Nothobranchius furzeri: one gene and its partners. The protein of the gene in region 1 binds, or shares a complex with, the protein of each later gene. Links are inferred from orthologs where the notes say so. Each region holds a gene or a part of one and is shown on either strand. Other genes may lie near its edges.

Evidence for each region. The genes of interacting proteins can lie anywhere in the genome.
Region 2: stx18 (region 1) and bet1l share a complex: the UniProt entries of both Homo sapiens proteins name them as parts of the SNARE complex. The link is inferred for Nothobranchius furzeri from reciprocal best matches to the Homo sapiens genes STX18 and BET1L.
Region 3: stx18 (region 1) and vti1b share a complex: the UniProt entries of both Homo sapiens proteins name them as parts of the SNARE complex. The link is inferred for Nothobranchius furzeri from reciprocal best matches to the Homo sapiens genes STX18 and VTI1B.

Annotation. Positions count from the first base shown.
Region 1 is NC_091743.1:54,512,946-54,516,457, reverse strand, and holds part of stx18 (syntaxin-18), read right to left. Parts: intron 2,528-3,512; coding exon 2,460-2,527; intron 1,383-2,459; coding exon 1,267-1,382; intron 1,158-1,266; coding exon 1,080-1,157; intron 1,008-1,079; coding exon 941-1,007; intron 860-940; coding exon 759-859; intron 1-758. UniProt on the Homo sapiens protein: Syntaxin that may be involved in targeting and fusion of Golgi-derived retrograde transport vesicles with the ER.
Region 2 is NC_091754.1:42,729,377-42,733,587, forward strand, and holds the start of bet1l (BET1-like protein), read right to left. Parts: upstream 2,810-4,211; 5' UTR 2,583-2,809; coding exon 2,564-2,582; intron 274-2,563; coding exon 188-273; coding exon of another isoform or gene 184-187; intron 1-183. UniProt on the Homo sapiens protein: Vesicle SNARE required for targeting and fusion of retrograde transport vesicles with the Golgi complex. Required for the integrity of the Golgi complex.
Region 3 is NC_091758.1:18,878,210-18,882,186, reverse strand, and holds the start of vti1b (vesicle transport through interaction with t-SNAREs homolog 1B), read left to right. Parts: upstream 1-1,168; 5' UTR 1,169-1,300; coding exon 1,301-1,397; intron 1,398-1,495; coding exon 1,496-1,554; intron 1,555-3,977. UniProt on the Homo sapiens protein: V-SNARE that mediates vesicle transport pathways through interactions with t-SNAREs on the target membrane. These interactions are proposed to mediate aspects of the specificity of vesicle trafficking and to promote fusion of the lipid bilayers.

The sequences.
Region 1 (3,512 bases):
CAGGTATTTTTGTGTGTGATCTGATTTCTTCCCTGTATCTCAAATATTAGTAAAGTGTGAGTGTGAATCTTGGTGAAACTGTGAAAACAAAACTAACAACTAATGGTGAGCTGAGTAAAGTTCAAGAATCAAATATATTTGTGATTGCAAAAAAGAAAAGGTAAACAAAATTTTGTTATGCATGAAAACAAAAGTTTATTATGTATTTTTTTAATATCTCTTATTCTTATTAGTCATTGTTTCACCAACATTTTTAATTGGGCTTTATTTTACAAAAATAAATGCAAATTAAAGATGGTGGTATTTTAATGGTGTTTTATTTGTTTTAAGGTTTTAAGACAACAGATGGCTGTGGATGTCCGGCGGGTGCTTCTGGAGGCCCTGCCCCCGCCGGAGGATCCACTGCTGGATGGCCTCTCGGAGCCTACGAGCCTGATCCAGCCAAACATGAGAAGAGGAGACGATGGATCCGGAGATGACCCCTGCAGGCAGGCTCAGAGGCCCTTCCCCTTTAGGGAGGGACCTTTTTGTTTTCACCTAGTGTTGCGGTGAGGAGGGTAGTGTTGGTGTCCCTTTGGGCACCATCTTGGGAGCAATTTGGGACATTTCTTTTTTGTAAAATGTAAAAATGTAGCTAAAACCAGCTAATAATATTTCACAGTATAGACACTGCCACCATATGACGGCAGGTTCACTTTTCCTGGAGCTTTAAGAGGAATAAAGTCCAGTTTTCTGAGGGCAAACACACCATGACTCACCAGAACTTTCCTCCTTTACAGTTTTCTCCTCTGTGGGCTCTACTTCTATTGTTTTCTGAGTTTTCTCCACCCTTACTGGGTGCTCTGGCACCAGTTTTGATCTGAAACAAAAAGAAAAAAAGTAACAGAAATCATATGAAGAGTCTCTCAACAAGTTGAAGGTGAGGCCAGAAGATACTCACAGTCTCTTCTTGTCCACCATTCTCTTGACTCTAATGGCTCTCTGCTCCGAGTACAGATTACAAACGTCTGAAATCACAGGTCACTGGTTTAGTGACGAAGCATGAAACAAATGTGAACTTTTACATAACATGACATCACCTCTCAGATACATGTCTATGATGTCCAGCACTGCACCCTTATGCTCCTTCATCTGGGCTGAAGTCACCTGTTTCTCCACTGTGAAGATGCAAATAAAATATTTATTTAATAACGAAGTCCAGATGCTTTAAAACATTAATCGAAAGTCTGGTACTTTCTAGTTTTTACATCTGAAATAAACACACACCTTCAGTGCGTAGCTGCTTGATGGCTTCCGAGCAGGTCCTCATGAAGATCTGAGCATCCTGGTCGATCTGGTCTCGTTCATTTTCCGTCATGCGATTATGATCGGATGAGATGAGACTATGAAACACACAAAAACCATAAAACTTCTCCTCTGCTAACCTGGGTCAGGGTTGCAAAAAAAAAAAAGGACCAAAATATTCAGAAAAGGCCTCACCCTAAACATAATTCAGTTCTAATTGTTTTCTACACACCTGAACATCCTGCATCGCGGTTATGTTAGGATGAGCATTGCATCCTTGTGAGCTGACAGTAACACAGTAAGCAGGTTTAGATTTAAATGAACCTGGATTACACACACAAAGAATCCCCAACAAAGAAAGCAGTGTAAGTAAACATCCCTTAAATAAAATAACATTAAAATATTGAACATGCAAAATAACATAATGCTGATTTTGGAAATATTTGTCTTAACATGAAGTTGTAAAAATTAGGATTCATGTTTTTAAATTTGCAGACTGGTAACAGTAATGTGCCCTAAGATCCAGCAGAGGGCGATGTGATAGTTCCTCTCCCACACTATTATGCAAAGCTGAAGGCCATTTATGTTGCAGTCTTAACCCAAGGTTATTTTTTTTATTAATGTATGATTTCATTTAGTTCAAATCTATTTTCCATCATGAAAAATGTTGGCTTAAGACTTTTTACTTAAAAAAAAACAGAAGAAAGTTGAAAGAAAAGAGCACCTAATGGTTGGAAGTTAAATCCCTGGATTTGTCCAAACACTTCATGCTACAGCACATCAACCACTTTCATCTCTAATATTTCATTAATGTTCTCCACTGAGGATTTATACACAAATCTGACAGAAGCGGGGGGAGCTGATCTGAACTGCCACACCAACAAAACACAGAGAGCCCCTTGAGCAAAGGAAGGCCAGGATTAGTCCCTGGGCGTGATTTGTTCTACACTTGGTTGCAGCTCAATTATTCCAGACAATTAGACTGGAGCCTGCCTCAACAGACCACCCTACATGCCGCTGACCTCGTGCCAGCAGCCATCACATGCAACTCACGCAAAGAGCATTTGATAATAACCTTGACCTCTGACCTTCTCTGTTTTCTTTATAATCCCATGGTCAGTTTAGAAGCGCTCTGTTGCTACTGTTGATGACTCTTACTCTTTGGAGGGACTTACGTTCCAGCACTCACGTAATCTTTTCGATGTTGCAGCAAAAAGTCTTTTAGCTTGGTGATGTTTGTGATCTGTTGAGATAGAGAGAAAATGCATGACTGGATTTTCTTCCTTTCACATCACTGCATCAATTTAAAGCAACACAGAGCTTTTAACACTTTAAGCTGTTGCTTTCAAACTGGTTTCAGTGATTCTTGAGCCAGAAACTTGAGCAAGTTCACACTGGGTAGCATTCTCCTGATCAGAAACTGCACTTAACAGTTTTGTGGTTCGATAGATACACTGGTGGGAGGTCTCTATCTGCTTTACAGCAATAGCTGCTTACTGTGCCGGTAGCTCATATGAAGGCTAGAGGTTAGCTTCTTTAGTTTGCCAACTGTTAAAAATAGCACAGGAAGAAGAACAAGAAGAACTTTTTTATGTTGGCATTGTGGTGGATCCTGGAAGTAAAAGTAAGGGAGTAATGCCTTTGGAGGCAAAGCTAAGAGCTAAAGCCAGAGTGAACATCAGTGCAGCCTAAACGAGCTAAAGGAGGCTATGAAATCATGGACTGATGGTAACCTGGCTTTGATGCAACTGGATTTGTAAGTCATGATTTTTTTTTGTCAAACAGTGTGGATTTTTTTTTATTTTGTGGCTTATTTTAATATTAAATGGCTTGTGTTAGCAATAGCTCGTTGTTAGCGCTAGCTACAGTAAACAGTAAACCTCTTTAAAACAGTAGAAAGGGGAAGCAGGAAACATATTAGGTGTTGCTTTAAAACAGTTCCGCTCTTTCAAACAGGTTTAAGAAATTATATTAACGGTGTAAACAATTTCCTTCCTTCTGCATTCAAACTCAAACATGCTGAATGTGTCCTTTAATGCATACCAGATCTGACGGGTAATCACATTTGGTCAATCTGACATCTATCTGTATTCTCAATATTTACTTAAGACGACGCATAAACTCCCCGACATGAAAAACCCAAACTAACAATTTCCTTGCGGAACAGCTCTAATAAATAAAAGTCTGGACTGCTGCACACGTAGGACTGACAGCGCCATCTCTAAAAG
Region 2 (4,211 bases), on another chromosome or scaffold:
ATACCGAAAACCGTGATAATTTTGGTCACAATAACCGTGAGGTTAAATTTTCACACCGTGACAACCCTACTTCTGAACAAGTTTCAGTTGCTTCACAGCTTTTTTGGGAAGACCAAGACTTGCTGCTGAGAAAAAAGTGAGTTTGACAAACACCTAGAAAAGCTATCAACTCATCGGACTCACATACAGATTTGAGTCTGGAGACTTTGGTGGCCAGATTCTCAGCCATCCGTTTGTTTTCAGCATCCAGCATGTCGTCAACTGAGCCGTGACCTGAACAAGCACAGAAATACAACCTGTCACATTTCTGTGATGGTTTCAAACATCTGCTTTATCACACTAACTAAACGTCTCGTCTGTAATAGATTTAAAACAATGTTAATACACAGATCTCAATAGTGTTAATTCCATTCGTTCGTAAGGAATACTTTTTCCACACAAAAACTAAATGAGAATTGAAATAAAAGGTTGGATTAAAGACTCAAAGGATCAACATGAAACAATGAAAATCCAATGAGAGGACAGGGAAGATACGAAGAACGAACAAAAGAACCAGTCAGCAAATGGAACAGGCAGAACTAGAAAAGAACCAGTCGAAGTCCGAAGCTTGGTGCTGTTTGAACAAGATCCTGTTAAAGTGACAGTGTGTAGTTTTCACCTTTAATCTCTGGAAATATCCACCGAACTGTTGTCGTAAAAGAATTAAAACAGTTGTTGAAAAAATATTGGCAGTTTAAAAACAAGTTACCATAAAGATCTGTTGTAAAATACATTGGAAAGGGACAGAGGGTGTTTCTCAATGCCAAGGAACCTCGCCTTGATGTCTTGACCCTGCCCCGGTTGCCTAGGAGATACGTCATCAGGAGCTGCCAAGACGCGTTCCAATGTTCATGTTCTACCAAGGCGTGTGTTCTCCGTTAGTTAGCTGTTTAGCTAGCTGAGCAAGGATACACAGAAGGTGTCTTTTAGCCTAGCCTTGGCAAAACTTTCCCAGAATACACCGCAGTATTTTCAAAAGCATGGCGGATCAAAAACCGGCAGCTACTTCGGGGGCAAATTTCAAGTTTAAAAGTAAGAGAACTAATTTAAAATGTTTCTTTTTTAGATCCAACGAAGTTATCTATTGTTGGTTGGCTGCTTATTAGTTGCAGCTTCGGTGGCTAGCGGGTAGTAACTTGCTTATATTTTTAATTTAATAAACATACACAATTTTAAAAGTAAACACCTCGTTATATATTTATATTGAAACTAATACGTATAAAATATATCGTTATGTCCCGTTTCATGTGATGTTACATGGCTGTCGTGGAAGCTGCGGTCACGTGATGCAAGTCTGTTCCATTTAAACGTTTTCTTTGACCAAGGAAGAACAGTGTCCTCGTAAGTAAGGCACCTGGCCTAGCAAGACATCGCCTCGCAAAGCCAGGTGCCTTCACATTGAGAAACACCCTGTCACCGAGCGATGCCATATTGGATGCCATGTTTCCTTCTACGGAAGTCTGAGGACAAAATGCATTTACTGATATGTGACAAGTGGTTATAAACTTTGAGCATTAATACACATTGTTGCTTTACACATTTACCTCTTCACTCGTTTAGTGATGAAAGGGAATCTGGTGTTATTTTGATGGAGGTTGCACTCCCAGGGATTTTTGACCCTAAGTGCCATCAGTTGGTAAGGTCTTATTTGAACACAAAAATAATGCTTGCTTGCTGTGATTCGGGTATCTACTGCCCCCTATCGCCAGGAAAACTACACATGGTCACTTTAGGCAACAGCTGAACAATTTATGTCAAAAAAGGAGAGAATGTCCACGGCTGGGAGGAAAAGCATTAAAAGTGATGATCTGGAAAAAAAGACTTCTGGACAGAAAAAAAGCAAGGACACCAACTTTTACTTTGAAAGTGTTATCAGTTAAAACTGAACTGAGATCAGAGTCAGCAACAGGATCAGAACATAATCAGGTGGGAAACAGATTAGAGTGAAACATGCATTTCTTCAAGACGTGACTGATAAAGGTGTTCTGTTTTATTTTTCTGTCTCTGTGGTGCTGTGTGACCTGTACTTACATGTGTGTACTGCTCCGTAGTAAAAGTAACATTTAAAACCTTTTTTATACTAGTGGTGCGTTCAGGAAAGGTTTACTTAAAGGAAACCCCGGTTATGTTCCATAAAGACCATCTTATGTCAGCCAAATTATCCAAACAAAACTAAATATGAAAAGTAAGCCTCAAATCCTGTTTTACTGTTGTTGTCTGCCCTTTCACCATTTAAATGAAAGTCAACCACGAGCTAAACCTCCGATTGTCTTTTCTTTATTCATAATCTGAGAAACGTCCCGTTTTTATCGCTTTATCTGCTTTGCTCAGCGAAGAAGGTGTTGTTAAACAGCTAGTGCTAGCCTCATGCTAGCCCAGCTGGGGGTTCGGGCTCTGAACCGTTGGTTCTGATGTCTGCTGACGTCACAGTCCCCCTCGCACCGCTATAAAATGGCATTTCAACCATCAACATCACAAATAAACTATAAGATAAAAGTGAATACGTGTCCAAATTCAAACCCACCTCTGTTCCAGTCCGCCATGTTGGTGAGCTACGTCACGATCAGGTGCTCAGCCACGTGATCACCGCCAACAGTCTAAGGACAGCTGTGGTAGGTTGTCGTATCATTTAATCAAAACAACCATCTATTGTCTTCTAGAATTTTTTTAATTAGCCAGATTTTCTATTTATTGTTCAGAACTAAAGTTGAAAACATTTAAAAATCATACTTCTATAACAACTAAATGATAAATGCCAAATGAGCAAAGAACACGTTTCTTAAATCAGTCCCTCCCTGACTATACAGATGATTGCAATATTTTGTGATAATTTCAGGTTTAATATAAGTTTAAAGTGACAGTGTGCATTTTCCCTGGCGACAGGGGGCAGAAGATACCTAAAGCAATGCAAGCAAGCAGTATATGTGGCCGTGTTCCAGATAAGCCAGTTCTGTGCAGATTAGATCAGCGGTGATCGGCGAGCTGTGCATGGCGGTTAGATTTGTGTCCAACTTGACGCCGACTTGGTCTGACGTCATGCATACGTAGGCAACGATAACCTCGTGAGATCAAAGTGGCCGCAGATTTTGGAGCAAGGTGCTGCAGTTACTCTCCCTCGGCTGCAAAACCTTGGGGTTGACGGGAAACGCCTGTCTCTCACCTGATCTAAGATCTGATTGGTTCATATTTTGATCCGAACATCCGGTGGTAGAACATAAAATGTTAGTTGGTCACATGTATTCTGTGAATCATGTTATGCTGATGATGACAACAATATAGGCCATAAAGAGAAATGTGTTTTGTGTTCTTTTGTCACGTTTCCTATGAGCACACTAAATCTACAGCTGATAACCTTTACTTATTGTTACAGTCATGTCTTCATATACAATATATGATATCCAGAAGCACGTGAGGATGTGTTTCAGCTGCTAACAGGCACCAGAATTAAAACTGAAAATTAAACAAGTATGAACGCTAACGCGATGTGTTCATCCGGTCGTCACCCATGAGCTACACATGTAGGGAAATTGAGGTTTCCGTTCAGCCCACAGCACAGAAACTGCCCTGATCCGTGTTATGAATGATTTACTTCTAACTGCGGATCAGGGCTCACCATCTCTCCTCCTCCTACTGGATCTGTCAGCGGCGTTTGACACTGTGGACCATACCATCTTACTAAATCAACTCCAGACTGTGGTTGGCCTTTCGGCAACCACACTACATTGGTTGCAGGAGTACCTTACGGGCAGAACGGAATTTGTAGCTTCAGGACAATGTCAGTCATCCCCCTACACTGTAAATTGTGGAGTACCACAGGGGTCAGTTCTTGGGCCAAACCTTTTCTCCATCTACATGCTTCCACTTGGACAAATTTTCCATAAATACAAAATATCGTTTCACTGTTATGCAGACGACACTCAGTTATACATGAAAATGGACTCCACTATACCTAAAACTCTTCCATCTGTACTTCAGGTCTGCCTGGAGGAGATGAGCATAACAGCATGGATGATCGCAAATTTTCTTCAACTAAACAGTAATAAAACTAAACAGTAATAAAACGGAATCTATCATTATCGGCACTCCACATCAAACACATCAAACACAGTCTCTCTCCCTTAGCAGTAATTCCATTTTCGGTCATGACATTCCCCTTTCCTCTACTGTAACAA
Region 3 (3,977 bases), on another chromosome or scaffold:
AGGCCCCTGAGCCTGGGCCAGGCACCGCCGTGTGTTCCCGCCTTCTTCCCAGCAGCATACAAGTTAGGAGCCAATCCCCAAGGCCCCGCCCAGATCCCCACATGGGGGCCAGCTACCCCCACACCCTTAGCCCCCAGGCCCCCACCCAGACCCACTCAGGGGTGATGCAGCCACCAGGCAGCAACCCATCGCCACCGTCAAGACCCCCCAAGGGGCTCCACTCACAACCGCCAGTAATCCACCCCTCGAGGCAACCCAAGCGCCTCCAGAGTGGGACAGCAGCCCCCCAGCCCCAGACACCCCCAGTGAATCCACCTCCAAGGAACGTCCGGATACTGCAAGCGCAGACCCTCCACCCCATCACCCACATCATCCCGCAGGACAGTATCAATGACAACCCCCCCCCCCCCCCCACACACACACACACACACACAATCACCTCTATGTGATGGAACCGATCAAAGGAGCCCATATAGATTGATTTGAAGTGGAAGAAGAGGCTGTCTCAAGTGTAATATGATCCAACAAAAGATTTATATACTGGTTAATGCAAAGAGTATCTCTATTTTTCCAATTCATGAGGATAGTTTTTTGAGCGACGCATATGGCAGTCAGAACCACGTCAACCAAAGGTGTTTCAATCGGGACATCATCCAGGTATCTTGCTATTCTTTATAGGTAGCCTTGTATCTAAATAGTAAATAATTTATAAAACAATAATTCTGTACAAAATTGATTATTATTATAATGTATCTATAATTTAGGCCCATTATTGTTTTAGGAAATAGCCTGGCTAGAAAATAATGTAAACAGACAAAGTAAATGCACACTAATATAAACTTCGTTCATTTTTATTTAATATTGTAGTGACTAGTAATAGTTTATCTTATTTTATGATGTTTCAGTTGTCTTTTAACAAATGTTTCAAATCTTTTTTAGAAGAATTAGCGGAAAAACTACAGTTCCCAGAGACCGTTTAAAGCTGTCTACCTTCGTGCCTGAATAAAATACGTTAAAATAACTTGTAAGACATTTAAATAGTGTTAAGCATATTGATGGTATTGTCACATTCATCTTCAGTATTGAAATAAATTTCACCGAACGTTTAGCATGTGAATACTTCAAATTTGTAGCAATGTTGTAAAGTTTAGGCACTTGGTCACGAGAGTCGTCATGCGGCAGCGGAAGAGTCTCATCGAAGCACAAGCAGTTGATCCACTTGTGTAGTTCGTTCCGTCCTTTAAAGAAAAAGGTACAGGTGGCCTTTTTATGACAGACAGCGAGATTACATTGACGGAAAATGTCGTCGGAAGAATTTGAGAAGTTACACGAAATCTACAGATCCTTGTATGACGAGCTAAAGCTAATCCCAGAGAAGGCTCTCAGCTGTACCGGAGGTAAATAAACCCGTTGTTCCCTCATTTAACCTCGTTTAAGTGTCAAATAACAAAACCTTCTTGGTTTAAACCTCGAACTTGTTCTGTTCCTAATGCAGAGGAGAGGAAGAGACTGGTGAGGACCTTCGATGAGAGACAGGGGGAAGCTGATGAAGTGGTAAAAACGTTTGTTTACGTCAACATCTTCACTTGTTTCTGTTTGTTATTTATTAACAGTGAGTGTTATAAATAAGGCCAAGAGTTTGCTGTAATTATTACCGCAAAACATCAACATAAGTACAATGACTGGCTGTGATGCTAAAGCTAATGTAGCTGAATGCATCTTGTGTGTAAAAACCATCGACATTAATATATGGACAATGGGTTTCCATAGACTCCAATAACACGTTTTTGAGGCTAAATGGGAGGTGGCCACCACCGCCATTTTGACCGTGTCACAGGTTCCGTCAAGCCCAGACAATTCCACAAAAGGGAAGAGAGGAGGAGCTGAGGGTGGGGCTGTAAGGCTGGGATCAACTGACAACACCCGGTCGAGCTATCTACAAGCTAACCTGAAGCTAACCCAAAGCTAATGCGGATGTGGGAGCTAAGCTATCGGAGGTAGCAACCTAGCTACAACTGGAGTTAACTGTGCACAACACCAGAGCTTCTGAGTCAGAGGTACGCCGGGCTGACCGCTGGGTAAAATACGGTGGAACCCAGAGGTCTCGGAGACCTCCACAAGCCGGCAGCCGCACAGTACACAGAAGCCGCGATCAGACAGATGCGTCGAGCTGCTGGGAGAACCAGCCGTCAGCTCGCTGCAGCAAACAGAAGCTGCGATCAGACAGATGCGCCGAGCTGCGGGGAGAAGTGGCGTATTTTGGCGGTTCTGGCTTGCCATAAGAACCAGCCGTCAGCCCGCCGCAGCACACAGAAGCCGCGATCAGACAGCGATGCGCCGAGCTGCTGGGAGAACCAGCCGTTAGCCCGCGCAGCTAACAGGAGCCGCGATCAGACAGAGATGGACCAGGCTGCGGGGAGAAACAGCCGGCATTCTGGGTGGAAAACATCGGTCTCCCGAGAGCTCCACAAGCCGATAGTCGGAACCCAGCTCCACCAACATGTTATATTTCAACCCATTTTCTAAAGTGCAGCATTGTGTTAAATGCACTGGGTTTTACCCTATTACATTTAAATTTCATGGTTAAACAGTACATGTTAAAATCTAAGCTCAGCTTGGCAGTGACCTAAAATACATAAATATAATTTTACTTACCGAAAAAAATGAAGTGGAGACTCCTTGGACGCTCTATTAGTGCAATTAATGCCACAGCAAGTCATTTTGTCCAACAATTGCACAAAAAATATCCAAAAAAGAATACACAAACACAGAGACTCAAAATCCCGGAACAGTTTCCAAGCCAGACTGAGGCTCTACTGAGGCCTTTCCACGGAGCTAGCTCTGTGGTCACGTGTGTCGGATGCTCATTAATTATACAGAATTTTAGGCTTTTAATACACTTAAACAGAAGAGTGAGAAAAAAAATTCACCCCCCTCAGAGTTGTCATGAGTATAAACTAGATCATTTAAACAAAAAACATGTTTTGGTACCAGGCTGTAAACATGTTTATTTCTGCTGTGAAATTGGCATTTTTAACATGGGAGTCAATGAGGATTTGCTCGTTTCTGACACCAGCCCCCAGCGGATGAGGGTGGAACTGCAATTTCTCTTACTTCCGGGTTGGCCTCAAATTTAAAGCCACATTGTGGGGGCCTGGTAAAAACGCAGCTTTACACTTTAAGCAGAGAGGTAGTGCAGTAATCATTAAATCAAAAGTCTATTAAACTTCAGTGTTAAAAACACAGAGGAAGATGCTTAAATACGTGCCTCACACTGCCAACTTTATTCGGTACACCTTGTATCTGCAGGGTTAGATCAGAACTACCTTCTCTCTTCATGTCATTGATCCAACAAGATGTTGGAAACTTTCCTTAGAAGTTCTGGTCCATATTAACATAACATCACACAGCTCTGTTCATAAGGAAAACCTCCTACTCCACCACATTCCATAAGTTCTGGACTGAGATCTGGTGACCGTGGAGGCCGTTTTTGTCCAGTGAACTCATCGTCATGTTCTAGAAACCAGTTAGAGATGCTCTGAGCTTTGTGACATGGTGCATGATCGTGCTTGAAGTAGTATCAAAAAATGGGTCCATGTGGTCATAAAGTGATAGACATGTATGGTCAGCAACAAGGTTGTGGTACTTAAACTAGGCTCAGCTGGTACTAAGGGGTCCAAAGTGGGACAAGAATGCCACCAGCAGCAGCTTAAAGCATTGATGCAAGACAGAATGGACCCATGCTTTCATGTTGGTGACACCAGATGAATTGAAGCCTCAGTATCCTTTTCTTAGCTGACAGGAGAGACACATTGATGTGGTTTTCTGCTGCTGGATCTGCTTCAGGCATCATCATGTTGTGGTTCAGAGATGCTGTTCTGCAGACCTTGGGAGGAACGAGTGATTGTTGGAGCTGCTGTTGTCTTTTTATTTATTTTTTTACGGTGTCCTGTCCGGCTGTGAAGCAATCAGAATTG